Oryctolagus cuniculus: one gene and its partners. The protein of the gene in region 1 purifies or fractionates together with the protein of each later gene. This does not show direct contact. Links are inferred from orthologs where the notes say so. Each region holds a gene or a part of one and is shown on either strand. Other genes may lie near its edges. The genes, in order: PRKAR2B, CDK5RAP2 and AKAP9.

Region 1 (5,347 bases):
ACTGACTACTTTGTTGAGACTACACTTGTTTTGAAACCTTGGGTCTCATCTCAACACAAATTATTTTAAAAGGAAAAACAACAACAAAAGAGAGAGAGAGAGAGAAACTTGATTAGACCAGAAAATATCCCAAAGCACTGAACCTAACAGAAGAAAGTGCTGCTGCCAGATCCTGAGCTGCACAGATATGGGTGAGGGTACTGCGGAAAGCTCGTGGAGTGCGCGAGTTGTGGTACAGGGGGTTAAGGCTGCCACTCAGGACACTGCATCCTGTAGTGGATTCCTGGTTCTGCTTGGCCCCTGAGCCAGCTTCCTGTTAATGCACCTGGCAGGCAGCAGATGAGAGCTTGGGTCCTCCAGTCCCTGCCACTCACCCCAGAGTTCTGGCTGGGATGTCTGGCTCCTGGCTTCCGCCAGCGCATTCAAGGAGAGAACCAGTGGATGGAATACCTCTGTCTCTGTCACTCTGCCTTTCAAATAAATAAGTAAATCTTTTAAAAGATAAAACCCTTTTTAAATTTTTATTAAAGATCTTACTTATTTATTTGAAGTCAGAGTTACAGACAAGAAGGGTGCGACAGATCTTCCATCTGCTGGTTCACTCCCTAGATGGCCGCAATGGCCAGGGCTCAGCCAAGCCAAAGGTGGGAGCCAGGAGTTTCTTCCAGGTCTCCTACAAGAATGGCAAGATCCCAAGCACTTGGGCCATCTTCTGCTGCTCTTCCCAAGCCATTAGCACGGAGCTGGATCACAAATGAGCAGCTGGGATTCCAACCAGCGCCTGTATGGGATGCCGATGTCACAGGCAGTGGCTTTACCCACAGTGCCACAATGCTGGCCCTCAAATATTTTTTAAAAGCTCACAGAAAAATTAAAAGTATGAGATTACCTCGGAAAAAAAATTGAAATCCATGTGCAGTTTTTTTATAATAGGCATTTACAACTTAAGAAAAAAAATTTTCTTGCACAAAATAAACTCATACTTTGGGTTCTACTTTTCCATAATTTTTTGCAATTCTACTGGGTAACGATCAAGTTGTAGTTGCTTGCAGTCAAAAAGTTTTAAGTTCCTTGGGGAAAAGTCTGGGAGATAAATGGTACAATGGCTTAACAGGTATTTATTAAAACCCATATTAAGCAATTTTTACAGTAAAGGTGCCCGGGAGAAAATAAAACTACATAAAACGGTCCCTGCAGTTTAGAAGTTCATGGCTTATTTCTTTATTGCAAAATGAAAACTACGTATGTGCTGTGCACACTATACAGTAATGTAAGGAGAAAACATTACTATATAGTAACACTATATAGTAATGTAAGGAGAAAACAAGGAAGCATCAATGCAAATACTTTAAAAGCACACAAACAAAATATACTAGTTATGTTCGCAATATATGATATAGATTCTTTACCAAGTCCCTTCGTTTCTTCTAATCTGGGAAACGAGCCCTTTTTTCCTTCCTGTGTGTGCACGTTCATGTGGACATGCGTGTGTATGCGTGTGTATGCGTGTGTGCACGCCTGCACTGGGAGCATAAAAGAAGTATCTGATGCCTCTGCCCTTTCTATGTCATCCATTACTGGCTTCTCATCTATTTAAAACATGCATTCTTTCATCCTGCTCTCCTTTCTAGCAAGAAAAGCATTTAATTCTTATGCAAAAAGAACAATTAAGACAATGATTATCCTATCCTGGAAAACGCTAAAAAGTAGAAAATCAAAACCTTAAGTGCCAATGTTTCCTTTTATCTCCACAAAGCACTAATTTCCAGGGGTTTGAGGGGCTGCTTTGCACAGGCTCAAATGCATGACTTTACAACCCATTCCAACACAAGGAAATGAAAGGACACTTTAAAATGTTTTTTTCTTCCACCCAGACGAAACCCGCTGCCGACACACAAACCACAAGCAGCGCACATAAATAAGAGCTGGTGCAATGCTGCACGCACGTTTGCCTCACACCACAAAGAGGACGGTACATTTGCACACCGAGGTGTGTCAGCTTAGGATGCCATAAAGAAGGGAGATGTGTGTCGATGCGAGTGTATCTGCGTGTCAGGGAGAGAGCGTTGTAAGCAGAAGGGGTGGGACTTGCCAGGAGCAGCTATTTGAGAAAATCCCTCTTTCTTCCCCATTCATTCTTTCCAGCTTTGCTGCCTGGCACGGTCCTTACAAACACTCCCTGGCTTTTCATCCTAAAGAAACCGACAAGCCTTCTGAACTTCCCAGGGTGGTTTCCACACGCGTTATTTTATTATTATTTTAAGCACTGAATCATTCAATATGTGGTTTATACTTAAAAAATAAATAAATTTTTAAAAAGCCGGTCTTCGGAAGACCCTGTGGATTGCAAGCTAAAGAGATTCCTTTGTTGTGTGTCAACTAGAAAATAATAAATTACTCCGTTTCCAGGAATGCCGGCGCGAGAACCATAAATGTGGATCTACCCTCAGCGAGTGCCAAATTGCTTGCTCCTCACGGGAAACGCTGACGACGGCGTCCGCCTCTCCTCCCTGACACCCCCAGGAGGACCCCGAGAGGGCCAGCTTCCTTCACGCACCGCGGCACCCGCCCAGCCCAACACCTCGGACCCCGGCCCGGGAAGCCGCGCGCCGCCAGCTCCCTCCTCCAGACGGAGGAGGGCGAGGGGGAGGGCACGACCAGAGAGCAGAGGAGGAAGGTGGGCGAGTGGGAGAAGACAGAAATGGATGCTGAGGGGGTGGGCGCGACGGGAAGGTAGGGGAGGCGGGGACACGCGGGGGAGCCGGGCTGCGGCTTCACGCGCAAAGCCGGCAGCGGCGCGGGCAGCGTGCGCGGAGGGTCGCTCCTCACCGTTGAACGCCCCTGCGTCCGCGGCCTCCTCTTCCTCCTCCTCCTCCTCCTCCCCGTTCTCGGAGTCGGAGTGCGCGGGCTCCTCGGCGAAGTTGACCCCCTTGCTGGGGGTGCCGCCCCCGGCGGCGGCGCCCGCGTCCCCCCAGGTCCTGCCCTCATGGCCGAAGCGCGCGGCGCCCTTGCGCTCGTTCTCCTGCTGCAGGCGCGTGAAGTGCTGCAGCGCGAACTCCAGCAGGTCGGCGGGCTGGTGCCGCAGCACCTCCACCGTGAAGCCCTGCAGCAGCTCCGTCAGTCCCGCCGGGATCTCGATGCTCATCCTGCCTCCGGGGCGGCGGGCGCCCTGGCGCCGCCCTCGCCCCCTTCTCCGGTCCGGCCTCGGACCCCGCGGCCACCAAAGCTGAGCGCCGACGGCGCGGGCGGCTGCGAGCGCGGCGCACTGGGCCCCGGCGGCCCGGCTGGCCCGGCGCGCGGCTGCTCCGTGTGGCGGCGGCTGCTGAGCGAGCGCGGCCCCGGGAGGGCTGGCAGCATCTCGGGCTCCTCCCGCTCCCGCAGCGGCCGCGCCTCTCCCCCGCCCGGCGCCCCGCCCTCGCCTTCGCCCCGCCGCCGCCGCTGCCGCCGCCGCGCGCGCCCACGTGATCCCCGGAAACCATGGCAACTGCGCGGGCTGGAGGGCGGGCGGGCGCCGAGCTCCCGCCGCTCCCACCGCCGCGGGGCTGAGGACGCCGGCGGGCGCCGGCGCGCTGGCTGGCTGGGAGCGCGGCGCCCGCACGCGCCCGGGGCGTGGGCCCCTGCGAGGCCGCGTCTCGCTCCGCTGGTGGAGCCGCCGTGCGGGGCTTCCCTGGGGGCCGGCGAGTACTCGGATACCTCGGCCTCCGCCCACGGCAGGCGTTTTTCCTCCCTCCTGGCATCCAGTTGGGTCGTCGTGTCCGGTGGGAGACTGGACGGAGAGAGGCTCCCCGGTTTGGGGGGCATCCTTCTTGTTCTCTCACGCGTCCGTTCATCCTTTGCCGGGGCGGTCCCGCGGAGCGCGCCGTGCGTTTCCCGAGACACTTGGCAAAGTTGATGGCCTGCGACCCGGAGAGTGCAGCAACTTGGATAAAATGCCGTAGTCCAGACAGGTAGTCCTCGAGCGGGAGGAAAAAAGCGGTGCTGGATTAGTCGGTTCGTGGTTATTTTAGAACTTTCCCTGTTGCTTTGGTTTGCCATTAGGTCTCCAAGACCTTCAGTATTTCAGTATAAAGAGAAATAGGGCTACAGGTGTGTAATTTTAAAGTACAGCTCCTGGACTCGGAAAGATCTAACGTCTACAGTTCAGAGGAAAGAGGATTGGTCTTTTGTCCATGAAATATTATTTCAATGCCCACTGTTCATTTTCTGCGATGACCATATTGTAAAAATAATTCAAGCAAAATCACTTTTTTCTTTTCTGTTTTATTCACTTTTTTATTCTCCTCCCCCCCCCAACACAAAACAATAAATACATTTCCCAGGAAACTCAAAAGGCCATAGATGAGAGACGAAACAAACTAATCCCTTTTATAAAAATACACTTTTGTTTATGATCCGCCTTCTATTTACTCCATGAGTGAATGTATTTTTCCATTTCCATTTCTTATCAATTTCATACTAATGTTTTTAAGTGTAATAAGTAACTTTTAGCTATAGGCATCAGGCATTTTAACAAATAAAATACTGCAATCCCCGTGTGCCACTTCTTGGAACACAATATTAGTCAGACTCGGCGGCATAAGCATTATTATTTTTACAGGTCCAGTAATCTAAGATGGATTTGTGTCTGTCTGCATTTATAATGATGTTTGTGTTGATTATAATTTGCATTACTTGCATGTGGCAGAAAATGTAGTAGCTTAAACACGATCAAATGTCGTTTCTCTGTGATCACCAGGGCCCAGGCTCCAGCCAGCTCTTTGCTCACTCATCCTCAGTTTGTGCTCCAGGATGCCTGCCGCCCTGCAAATCGTGTCAGCCACATTTCAGCTATGAAAAAAGTAGGAAAGAGAAGGCAACCGTCTCTCCCCTCCCCAGACACTGACCCCGTAAGACAATCCGGGAAGTTAAACATAACCAACTCCTCATCTGTCCTCTGGGCCAGATTCCTCTGCACAGCCCAATGTGCTCTCCTTGCCGTTCCTCCATCAGGAGTTGAAGTCTTGCTTCCCCTCCCCAGGAATGTGAATGGGTTTCTGCATGCTTTTGATGAACAAAACAGGACAAAACTCCTGCCAGCCCTGTGCTAGCTGCCATCTGAAGTCCAATCCACAGAATACATGAGCAAAATTAAAAGGTTATTTTAAGCCTCTATGTTTTAGAGTAATTTGTTGAAAACACGTGGCTATTAGAAAAAAAACTTTAGGGGGCCAGCGCTGTGACGCAGCGGATTAACGCGCTGGCCTGAAGCACTAGTTTGAGACCTGGCTGCTCCACTTCTGATCCAGCTCTCTGCTATGGCCTGGGAAAGCAGAAGATGCCCCACATCCTTGGGCCCCTGCACCTGCAT
Region 2 (5,118 bases), on another chromosome or scaffold:
GCAGGCTCAATGTGAGGAAGGACAAGGCAAGACCAAGGGTGACAGATTCTGGCAGCCAGGTATAAGGTGAAGAGGAGGAGACATGGGTAGGGAATTAGAGAGAGAGGAGGCTAGAGAGGCACACCGGGCCAGACCATGAAGAATTCTGGAAATCACGTTAAAGAGCTTCATCCTGATGACAGGGAGGAGCTGGGGAAGATGCAGACAGATTAGCTATCAGGAAGTGTGCAACACCCTGGTCCTGCAAAGGCAGGGAGAGGAGGGAAAGGAGAGTATTTGCTATTCTGTTGAGTAAACTCATTTTAATCCTTATGCTAATCCTGGGCTTAGCACAAACCCATTTTATAGATGATGAAAATTGAAGTTAAAAGAGGATGAGTGACTTATCAAGGTCACAGGGTAAAGTAGCAGAACTGGGATTCAAACTGAGCTAGGTCTGGGTCCCAAAGCCAAGTATTTGGTCAACCAGCACTGAGATGAGAGTGGCGCCAGCTGAGAGAGTAATGGGCTTTATCCTCATGGCAATAAAAAGTGTTCAAAGTACTTAGCAGCAGACTGTGGGGATCAGATTTATATTTAATAGTTTTCCAATCCAGTTAAGAAATGGGCAAAGGACTTGAACAGGCATTTTTCAAGAGATAATACAAACGGCCAACAGACACATGAGAAAATGCTCGGGATCACTAGCCATCAGGGAAATGCAAATCAAAACCACATGAGGTTTCACCTCACCCCCAGTTAGAATGGCCCTCATAAGAAATCAACAAACAATAAATGCTGGCAAGGATGTGGGGAAAATGGAAACCCAGCTCACTGCTGATGAGGATGTATTTCAATGCAGCCACTGTGCTAGGATGGAGATACCTCAGAAATCTAAATACAGACCTGCCATATGACCCAGCCATCCACTCCCAGGAATTTTCTCAAATGAAATGAAATCTGCGTATCAAAGAGTGATCTGTACCCTCATGTTTATTGCAACTTATTTCACAACAGCTAAGATACAGAATCAACTCAGATGCCCATCAACTAAAGACTGGATAAAGAAATTATTCTATATATATACTATAGAATACTATACAGCAGTTAAAAAAATGAAGTCCTTTCATTTGCAACAAAATGGATGCCACTGGAAACCATTATAGTTAGTGAAATAAGCCAGTCCCAAAGTGACAAATATCATGTTTTCCCTGATCTATATAACTAATAGAGTACCTAAAAGGTAATCTATAGAAGTAAAATTGACATTTTGAAACTTGATATTTGTTTACAGGCCTTTACTGTTGAGGAACAGTGCTTTTTTTCTTCATACTATTTGTTGAACTCTTCACTTAGTTTAGGGTTAATCTTATGAGTACAAAGTTAACGGAAAACAGATATTTGTAAAAATTAAGAATAGGAATAAGAGAGGGAGGAGGAAGAAGGGTGGGAGTGTGGGCAGGAGGAAAGGTCGGGGAGGAAGTATTAGTATGTTCCTGAATCTGCATATAGGAATACATGAAATTTGTATACCTTAAATAATTTTTTAAAAAGCTAGCCATATTCTAAAAAAAAAAAATAGAGTTTTCAAGCTGTAGTATTAACAACTGCTGGTGGTTAAAGGAAGCCAGAACAGTACAGGTGAGAGGCAGTGGTAGTAGTGGTGGTTAAGATGAAGAGAAGGGACATAATGAACTTCCACAAAGATCTGATTAGGCAAAAGCTGCAAAGAGCTTTGTACGTGATACACAGAGTACGCATCTTCCAGATTTGCCCAGGACACCACCGCTGGATTCCTACCTTGCTGTTCAGGCACACATACTGACTGTGCCCAAGTTACTCTTAAAAGCATCCAGTTTACACATTAAATAACAATTTCATTCACTAAGAATCTGTTGAGCAAAAGCAGCAGCCTGTCCCTAGGAAAACTAGGTAAGCAGTGTGGGTTCCGTCAGGACTCTCCTCCCCTTCCTTCCATCTACTCTCCCATCAGGACCCAGGTACAACCCGAGACCCAGCCCAGAGCAGTCTAGGACCCAAGCAGAACCTCCTGCCACAGAGACCCCAGCCCCACCAGCAATGGGGACTTGGAAGGCCACTCTCAGCCATTAGTCCTCAATCTCCATCACTACTGATCATAGTAAGGACAATGGCAACACTAGAGCATTTTTTCAGCACTCATTGTATGCCAGGCACTAACTACACTTGCCCAGTGAACTGCCTCTTTCAATCTTCACCCCATTCTGCTGCGTGGATATTAACACCGGCCCACTGTGCAGATGGGAAATCAGATTCAGTCACTTTACCAAGGCCACCAGATGACTACTTTATAAGTCTGAATTTGAATCCAGTTCTAACTCCAGCCAAGGAACTTAAACACTGTACTTCACTGCTTCCATCCTCCGTCGCGACTCTGTGACCTTAATAAGAAAAGTCTGGGCGCTGGCACTACCTCCCCCACGATGAAAGCAAACCCGTGCCCAGGGTGAGCCATCAAACACCCTCAAGACCCCCGTCCCACAACCAGCCCCCAACTACTAGCATACTCCAAGTGGTCCCCCTCGGCCTGCTCTTTCAGAAAGCCCCTTAACCCGGCTTTCACCTCCTCTTCCAAGAGCGCCCCAAAACAACAGAAGCGAGTGTGGGGCCAGTGGGGACCCCCACACGATCAACGCAAAGCCTCCCTCCGTAAAATAACCTGAAGTAGGCAGGCATACACACACACTGCCCGGGACCAAACACTCCAACACCCGCAAGAGCAAACCCCAGGGCCCCATCAGCGGAGAGCCCAGCCTGATGACCGCGAACCCCCTCACTGTGCCCGGGCCGCACCTGCAGCCGCTGAGCGTCCCAGGGAGGCTGACGTCCTCTTCCAACACCGAGTCCATAGCGGATGAAAAGGCGATGGTGGCGCTGGTGCCTGTGGGGGCGGCGCCACTGGTTGCCCCCGCTGTGGCGACCCGCCCGTCTCCCCCGGTCCCCGCCCCCCTTCCAACCCAGCTCTTGTTCTGACTCCCGCGGCGCCGCTGGAATTCAAACCACAGCGGCCGCCATATTTCCCGGCGCTTCTTCCTGCGGAAACAAGGCGGGGCCACGGACGCGCGCTGTGAAGCCAACCTGCGGCGGCGAGAGGCAGGGCAGGGAAGCGGCAATGGGCGCCATCTTAACTAAGGGCAGAACGTCGGCGCTTTAGCCCATAAAACTAACGAAAGAGAAGGAGCTGCCATTTTTTATGAGGGCATTCCCGCAGGAGCCCGCAGGTGCCATCTTTGTTGAGGGCAAAAACTGACTGTGGTCCGTTAGTTTAAGCGGGAGATGGGAATACAGTTCCTATGGGAACTTCAGAGTTCCTGAGGCGGTATTTGCTTTTCTAGAATGATGACTCTTTGGATCTGTGTCTCCAAAAGGCTCCCACCCATATACTAAGATGCTGATTCACTTTAGAAAAATCCTACCTGTGGAATCCTAGTTGTTTGCACACGTAGTTTGAAACAAATGGTTCCTCCCTCCGATACAAGGGGTCAGACTCCACTCCAAGCTCGCACTTAGTGGTCCTTTATTACCATTACTACTAAAACGCGCCTGCAATAGCTAAACCAAGGCTCGAAAGGAGTGATTCCCCCCTTAGTAATATGCACTAAGTCTGTGAACTGGAGCCAGATCCGTGGCTCCTGCCAACTAAATGAGGACTCTCCTGAGGCTGGCATTGTGCTACAGCAGGTTAAGCCCACCTCCCATATCAGAGGGCCCACAGAGTGCCTGATTCTAGTCCCAGCTAGTGCACTTTCAATCCAGCTTCCTGTTAATGCATGCCCTGGGAGGTAGCAAGGTGATGGTTCAAGTACTTGAATCCCTGCCACCCACCTGGGAGACTCGGATGCAGTTCTTGGCCCAGCCCTGACTGTCGTGAGCATTTGAGGAGTGAAAAAGCAGGTAGAAGATCTCTGGCAGAAGATCTCTCCTCTCCTCTCTCCTCTCCTCTCCTCTCCTCTCCTCTCCTCTCCTCTCCTCTCCTCTTCTTCCCTCCTCCTCTTCTCTCCCCTCCCTCAGCATTAGTGAGGCTTTCAGAGCCCAGCCTCTGCACTTGTCCCTCTTCCTTCTGCAGACCCTCAGTGTGGGGAGCAAACCGGACTAGACTGAGTTACTGGAATTAAGACTTATTCTATGCATCTGCTCTCCCACAATATGGCGCTGGGAGAGAAGTAAACAGCTTCCGCACAGCTGCCTCCAGTTCAGCCAATAAACTGTAGGACTTGCTCCTGATTGGAGGAGAGCAGCGTACTCGGCGTGTGGGCAGCCGAGTTGGGATTGGCGGAGGAGGACTATAAAGGAGGAGAGAGACGGCATGCACCAGGAACATCTATGGGGAACATCTAAGGGAACCCGTGCAGCCCCCGAGAGAACCGGCCGGCGGTGTGCCGCTCCCCTGCGGAAGTGGGGAATGCGGCCAGGGGGAACTGCCCTTCCACGGAGGTGGAAGGGATAGTAGCCAACCCGGGAAGAACCAGCAGCAAACCCGGGGAGGGCCGAGCAGACGAAAGAACAGCGCAGGGTCCTGTGTCGTTCCTCCACGAAGAGGGGGAGCGACACCTCAGCCACCACCAGAATCAGTCAACAGCAATAGCCCGAAAGAGGGAGTGGGCTTGGCACCCGGCATGCACTGCCCCAGGGAAGGAGCGGTCCTTGAAGCCCCAGAACCAAGCCTCCTGACCACTGCTAGATTCAGTCCAGATCAGTGTGTCCGAAAGCAAGGCGGTGTCAAGATTCCCACCCTGCCCCTCTAGATGACACTGTCACCTCGGCAGACCACTTCTCTCTGGATCTGTTTCCACATATGCTAAATGAATGGGTTGAACTAACGGCTCGGGATCTTACAGTGCTGGCACTGATTTTCTCTTTCAAAGCTGCTAACACAACCAACCCTTTTCTGATGAGTGAAGCTGAGTTACAAATCCTGTCTTTCTAAATGAAGAAACCAACTTTGCACCCAGCACATGAAAGTTCTTGGGTGGGGCAGCGGGGGGTGGGGGGAGGGGTGACAAAAGGAAGAGGACTCACACATCCTGAGCACTTTATGAGTCAGGCAAGTCATACGCACTGCCTCATTTAACCCTCCAAATGCCCTTCCGTAGGAAGTGC
Region 3 (5,128 bases), on another chromosome or scaffold:
TTAATGCACCTGGGAAACAGCAGAAGATGACCCAAGTGCTTGGGTTCCTGTCACCCACATGGGAGACCTGGATGGAGTTTCAGACTCCTGGCTTCAGCCTAGCTGTGTGGTCATTTGGGGGAGTGAACCAGCAGATGGAAGGTCTCTCTCTGTTTCCTTCTCTCTATATATAACTCTGCCTTTCAAATAAACAAATCTTTAAAAAAAATGAGATAAAAACATTACCAAATGCAATATGTAAATCTAATGAACGAATGAGACATTTGAAGAATCTAATCTCTCAACAAATTTTGGAAACTGAAAATTCTAAGTGGTTTCTGATGCCAGCAATGAAATCTTTAAATTATGATAATTCCAGATTATTGCTACTTTTGAAGCAGAGGCGGGGGGGGGGGGGGGAGGTCTTCCACATGCTGGTTCACTCCCCAGATGGCTGCCAACTACCAGAGCTGTGCCGATCTGAAGCCAGGAGCCAGGAGCTTCTTCCACGTCTCCCATGAAGGTGCAGGAGCTCAAGGACTTGGGCCAACTTCTTCTGCCTTCCCAGGCCATAGCAGAGAGCTGGATAGGAAGTGAAACAGCCAGGACCCAAACCTGTGCCCGTATGGGATGTCGTTAGGGCAGGCAGCGACTTTACCCACTATGCCACAGCGCTGGCCCCTATTGTTACTAAACTATAACCATACTAGTAAAGCTGCACCCATTAACAACTCATTAGTCATTCTGCTCTTCATTTATTTAGCATTCACTGATAGGTATCATTCTAGGGTACACTGTGATCTAACTTGAAAAAAGATTGTCACCACCTCTATATCTCCAGCCCCTGGCATAACATGGGAGTTCAAGATGGCTTGTGCTGAATGACTACATTTAGAACCCAATGTTTTGGGCCGGCGCCGTGGCTCACTAGGCTAATCCTCCACCTTGCGGCGCTGGCACACCGGGTTCTAGTCCCGGTCGGGGCACCGGATTCTGTCCCGGTTGACCCTCTTCCAGGCCAGTTCTCTGCTGTGGCCAGGGAGTGCAGTGGAGGATGGCCCAAGTGCTTGGGCCCTGCACCCCATGGGAGACCAGGATAAGTACCTGGCTCCTGCCTTCGGATAGGCGCAGTGCGCCGGCCGCAGCACGCCGGCTGTGGCGGCCATTGGAGGGTGAACCAACGGCAAAGGAAGACCTTTCTCTCCGTCTCTCTCTCACTGTCCACTCTGCCTGTCAAAAAAAAAAAAAAAAAAAAAAAAGAACCCAATGTTTTTCAGTCCTAACTAAAACACATGCTTATATAGAGAGGAAATAATTTATAGACTATTTTTGATGATGCCATTTTCATTCTATCTTCCATGCTGTTAGTCTTCATAACGTTAATGGCTGCATACTATTCCATTGCATTTATACATCTTAGAAAGCCAGTCTCTTCATATCATCTCTCAAGACTTATTTCGGTATTTTTATTGCAGAGCTAATGTGGCCCCAAACATATCCTGCCTTATACGTTTCACAGATTTCTCACTGGGAAAAGCAGGCTTAACTCCAGAAGAAGATAAACTTCTGAAATACAAGTTAACCTATTAACATTACTCCATTGGTAGAATTTTGAAACACACACACACACACACACCGCTAGAGCATACAGAACTCCATTTTGCCAAATCAACTACTTACAACTATTTAATTAAATCCTCTATCATGATATATGTCTGTCCAAAGTAAATCACCTTTCATGGGACTGCTTCACATGTTTTTAGGAAAGACATTTTTGGGGGCAAGCAGTAAAAATTCCCAAGCCAGACAGATTAGAACTTCAGTGCTTCTGGAAGCCAGCACACAGCTAACCTCCCTCAAGGGACACACGGGGTTTGTGTAATGTAAGCAATTTGGGGGCTCTGGAAGGTGCCCTGTTCCCCTTCCCTCCATGTACAGATTCTAAAAGTCCACCTGGCTACCTGTGAGCCTGGACCTCGGGCGGAGGGAGCTTCCTGCAAAGCCCACTGCATTGCTACGTTACACACGCAGGCAGACACACCTGGGATGAGCACTCTCCTGCTGCACCTCTGCAGGTGGCCCTTCCCGGAGGACTGCAGCCAGGGCCCCGGTTTCCTTTGTTTATGTGGGGGGAGGGGAGGGAAGGCGGAGAGGAGAAACAGTTAACTACACTACCATTTAACCGCAGTCCAAGTATGATTGCTGACAATTACCTCTACAGAGATTAGCAGATAACCTACAAAAGGTCATTTCGTTGTAAAGAAGAAGGGGTCCTTTGGGGCCAACCAGAAGACACGTCTAACACGCAATGTTTAAAAGAAATAGGTTATTCAAATGTATCTCGTGTCAAGTTTTTCATGAAGCCCAAGGAATGACACCTGTGTATGATTTTGTATTGTTTGCTTTACAGGCTTTTTCGTGCGCGCGCGCACACACACGAAACAGCGGCTCACCGGAGCTACACAGAGGACAACGACATTACTCAAAGCAGGAATTCTGTAGGTGTCACTTGGAACACAGAACCTCTGGGTTCCCAGAAGTTCCATGCAGACAGCCTCGGTGCCGCGACAAAGACCTCCGCAGACAGACATACAAAGGCACGCTTCTGTCAACGCCCCTGCAGCCAAGTTCACAGCTGGCACTTGTGGCACACTCGAGCCACTGCCGAGGCAGCTGTCACAGGCCAATCACACACGCCCCGGAGTGCCAGCGTGCCAGAGAGGCGGGCGAGCCGCCGGCCGCGCGCCAATCCCCCCCAAATAAAGGAGAAGCCCTGAATCTCCTCGCTGGGCAGCACAACGCCTGCACCGCCCAGAACACCCCCTGAAGAAAGTGAAAGGCTGAGATTCGGGAGCAATTAAACACCAGCTGACGGCAGCCCTGGGCATTTACGAGAAAGCAGCCACGCCGTTCACTCAGCACCCAAGTATCGGCGGCGAGGAGGGGGCGCCGGGCTTCGCCCCTACTGGAACAAGGGGCGAGGGGGAAACGCGGGGCCGCGGCACCTCGCTCCCCGCCAGCCAGCGCGCGCCGGCCGCCGCCAGCTCCGCTCCCAGGCCCCCTCCCACCCTGCCCAGCCGCCGCCTCCCTCCCCGGGCCCGGCTGCCTCCGCCTCTCCTACCTTCGCTTTGCCGGCCTCCAGCTTCTTCTGTCGCTCCTCGTCCTCCATGGCCTCTGCGGGAAGGCGGCGGAGCAGCGGGCGGGGTTTGGGGGAGACAGGAAAGGTCGGTTCAGGCGGAGGTGGGGCGGCGAGCTCCGCGGCCCAGCGAGCAGGCCCGGCGCGGCGCGGCCCCGCCCGGAGCGCGAGCAGCCTCCGCGCTCACTGGCGGCTCGTCCCGGGCCGCACGGCCAGCGCCGTCACCGCCGCCGCCATCTTCGTCTCCACGTAAACACTCGGCGGGCGTCGTGGGGGGGGGGGGACGTCGGTCCGCGCAGCCGCCGCGCCGGGCAGGTGCGCCGCGGCCCCGCCCCCGCCCGCGCCGTCCTCCCGCGGCCCGGCGGCTCCCGGCGGCTCCCGGCGGCGGCGGGGCTGAGGCGGGAGCGGTGTCCAGGGCCGCCCGCCCGCCGGCCAGCAGTGCCGCCACGGTGCGCGGGACTCGGCGCTCTTCAAACAGAGCGGTTTTTCCAATCACGAAGCCATCAGATATGAAGGACCTCTGAGCAGCCACAGTGGCCAGCAGGCGGGAGAGACTTGCCGGACCCCGGCTTTTCAACCTAGGTGGACTCCTCCACGCCAGAAACCGGGAGAGCGGCGACTGCGGCGGTGACTTCCCTGGCCTCGCAGTCCCGCCCCCTGGCCCACGCCGGTTCCCGCCCAGGCTGCCGGGTCCTCCGAGGCCCACCTCGCACGCCTCCGCCTGCACGCACACGGCTCCTGTCTTTGTTCGCCCCCCGCCCCCGGGAGGGCTCCTGCTGAACCTGCACTCCCATCCAGCCTCGCTGGGGCCTCTGGCAGCGGTGCTCTCGGGGACCCAGCCCGGGCGCACCACCTGACACGACACACGTTACCTGTCCTGGGATTGGGGAAGGGTGGTCATCTTTGTGACTGCCCCTGGCCTACCGAATCGCCCCGAATTAATGTCGGTTGCCGTTTTTCTCGAATTTCCTTGATGTCCTCTGCACGCGTTTTGTTGGCTTGCGTGCTTCTTAGGTCACCTGATATTCCTGGCTCCTTGGAGGCACGGACCCCCTCATGGATCCTGCTCACCGTGGCATTAATAAACGACTAGCACAGGGCTTTGCTCCGAATAAATACTGCTGGGTTGACTGGTCACGTCTATAAATTGATCATTACTCTTCCGTTTCTTCCACTCACCTGGCCCCGCAATCCTCCTCCTGCCCCCTTCACCACCCTCCCATTCGCCAACCCTCCGTTCCTAGAGTGAATACAAATGATCCTGTCTTAGGTTGAATACTGATGTTGAGTTCCCCTCTCCTTTGTTGAGTGAGGTTGGGCTGAGAAACTGTCAGGAGTGGAAACAAGCTGCGAGTTCAACGTATTGGTGATATTCAGTGAAACTTGGGGTTAAAAAAGGAAAAGGTGGGAGGGGGGTGCTCTGGCATACCAGGTTAAGCCCCCACCTGGCGCTGGTTCCAGTCCTAGCTGCTGCTCTTCTGTTCCAGTTCCCTGCTAAGGGCCTAGCAAAGCAGAGGAAGATGTCCCAAGTGCTTGGGTCCCTTAACCCACGGGAGAGACCCGGAAGCAGCTCTGGCTCCCGGCTTCCCATCCAGCTTTTGTAGTCAGTTGGGGAGTGAACCCGAGGAAGGGCAAATGTGTGGCACTAGTGATTTGACACCTGTCCATTCATGTCATATCATACCAGTCATTTATATAATTTATTCATTCAAGTCATTCCCCAAGAAGATGCTATCTCGCCAAGACTTGAGAAAGATGAGGGAGTGGGCCATGGAGATAAGTGAGCTGATAGCAATCCAAAGCCTCTCAAGCGGCGATAAAGGATAAACAGGAAGCAAGGGTGGCTAGAGTGGAGTAAAACATCCAGGAGAATAATAGGAGATAAAGTCAGAGAAGTAATGAGGGTAGGGGGCAACGCGATCAGATCCTATAGAGTTCAGGAGTTCATAGTTCATTGTAAGAAAGCACTTTGGCTTTTTTTCTGTTTACAATTAGAAGCAACTGGAGAAATTT

Evidence for each region.
Region 2: the proteins of PRKAR2B (region 1) and CDK5RAP2 purify together in Homo sapiens (affinity purification with mass spectrometry; 3 studies listed by BioGRID and IntAct, counting the BioPlex papers as one, with this or other methods). This does not show direct contact. The link is inferred for Oryctolagus cuniculus from reciprocal best matches to the Homo sapiens genes PRKAR2B and CDK5RAP2.
Region 3: the proteins of PRKAR2B (region 1) and AKAP9 purify together in Homo sapiens (affinity purification with mass spectrometry; 3 studies listed by BioGRID and IntAct, counting the BioPlex papers as one, with this or other methods). This does not show direct contact. The link is inferred for Oryctolagus cuniculus from reciprocal best matches to the Homo sapiens genes PRKAR2B and AKAP9.

What each region holds. Positions count from the first base shown.
Region 1 is NC_091434.1:137,198,486-137,203,832, forward strand, and holds the start of PRKAR2B (cAMP-dependent protein kinase type II-beta regulatory subunit), read right to left. Parts: upstream 3,309-5,347; 5' UTR 3,146-3,308; coding exon 2,830-3,145; intron 2,678-2,829; exon of another isoform or gene 2,456-2,677; intron 1-2,455. UniProt on the Homo sapiens protein: Regulatory subunit of the cAMP-dependent protein kinases involved in cAMP signaling in cells. Type II regulatory chains mediate membrane association by binding to anchoring proteins, including the MAP2 kinase.
Region 2 is NC_091432.1:224,487,479-224,492,596, forward strand, and holds the start of CDK5RAP2 (CDK5 regulatory subunit-associated protein 2), read right to left. Parts: upstream 3,057-5,118; 5' UTR 2,868-3,056; coding exon 2,812-2,867; intron 1-2,811. UniProt on the Homo sapiens protein: Potential regulator of CDK5 activity via its interaction with CDK5R1. Negative regulator of centriole disengagement (licensing) which maintains centriole engagement and cohesion. Involved in regulation of mitotic spindle orientation.
Region 3 is NC_091447.1:43,775,124-43,780,251, forward strand, and holds the start of AKAP9 (A-kinase anchor protein 9), read right to left. Parts: upstream 3,235-5,128; 5' UTR 3,149-3,234; coding exon 3,101-3,148; intron 1-3,100. UniProt on the Homo sapiens protein: Scaffolding protein that assembles several protein kinases and phosphatases on the centrosome and Golgi apparatus. Required to maintain the integrity of the Golgi apparatus. Required for microtubule nucleation at the cis-side of the Golgi apparatus.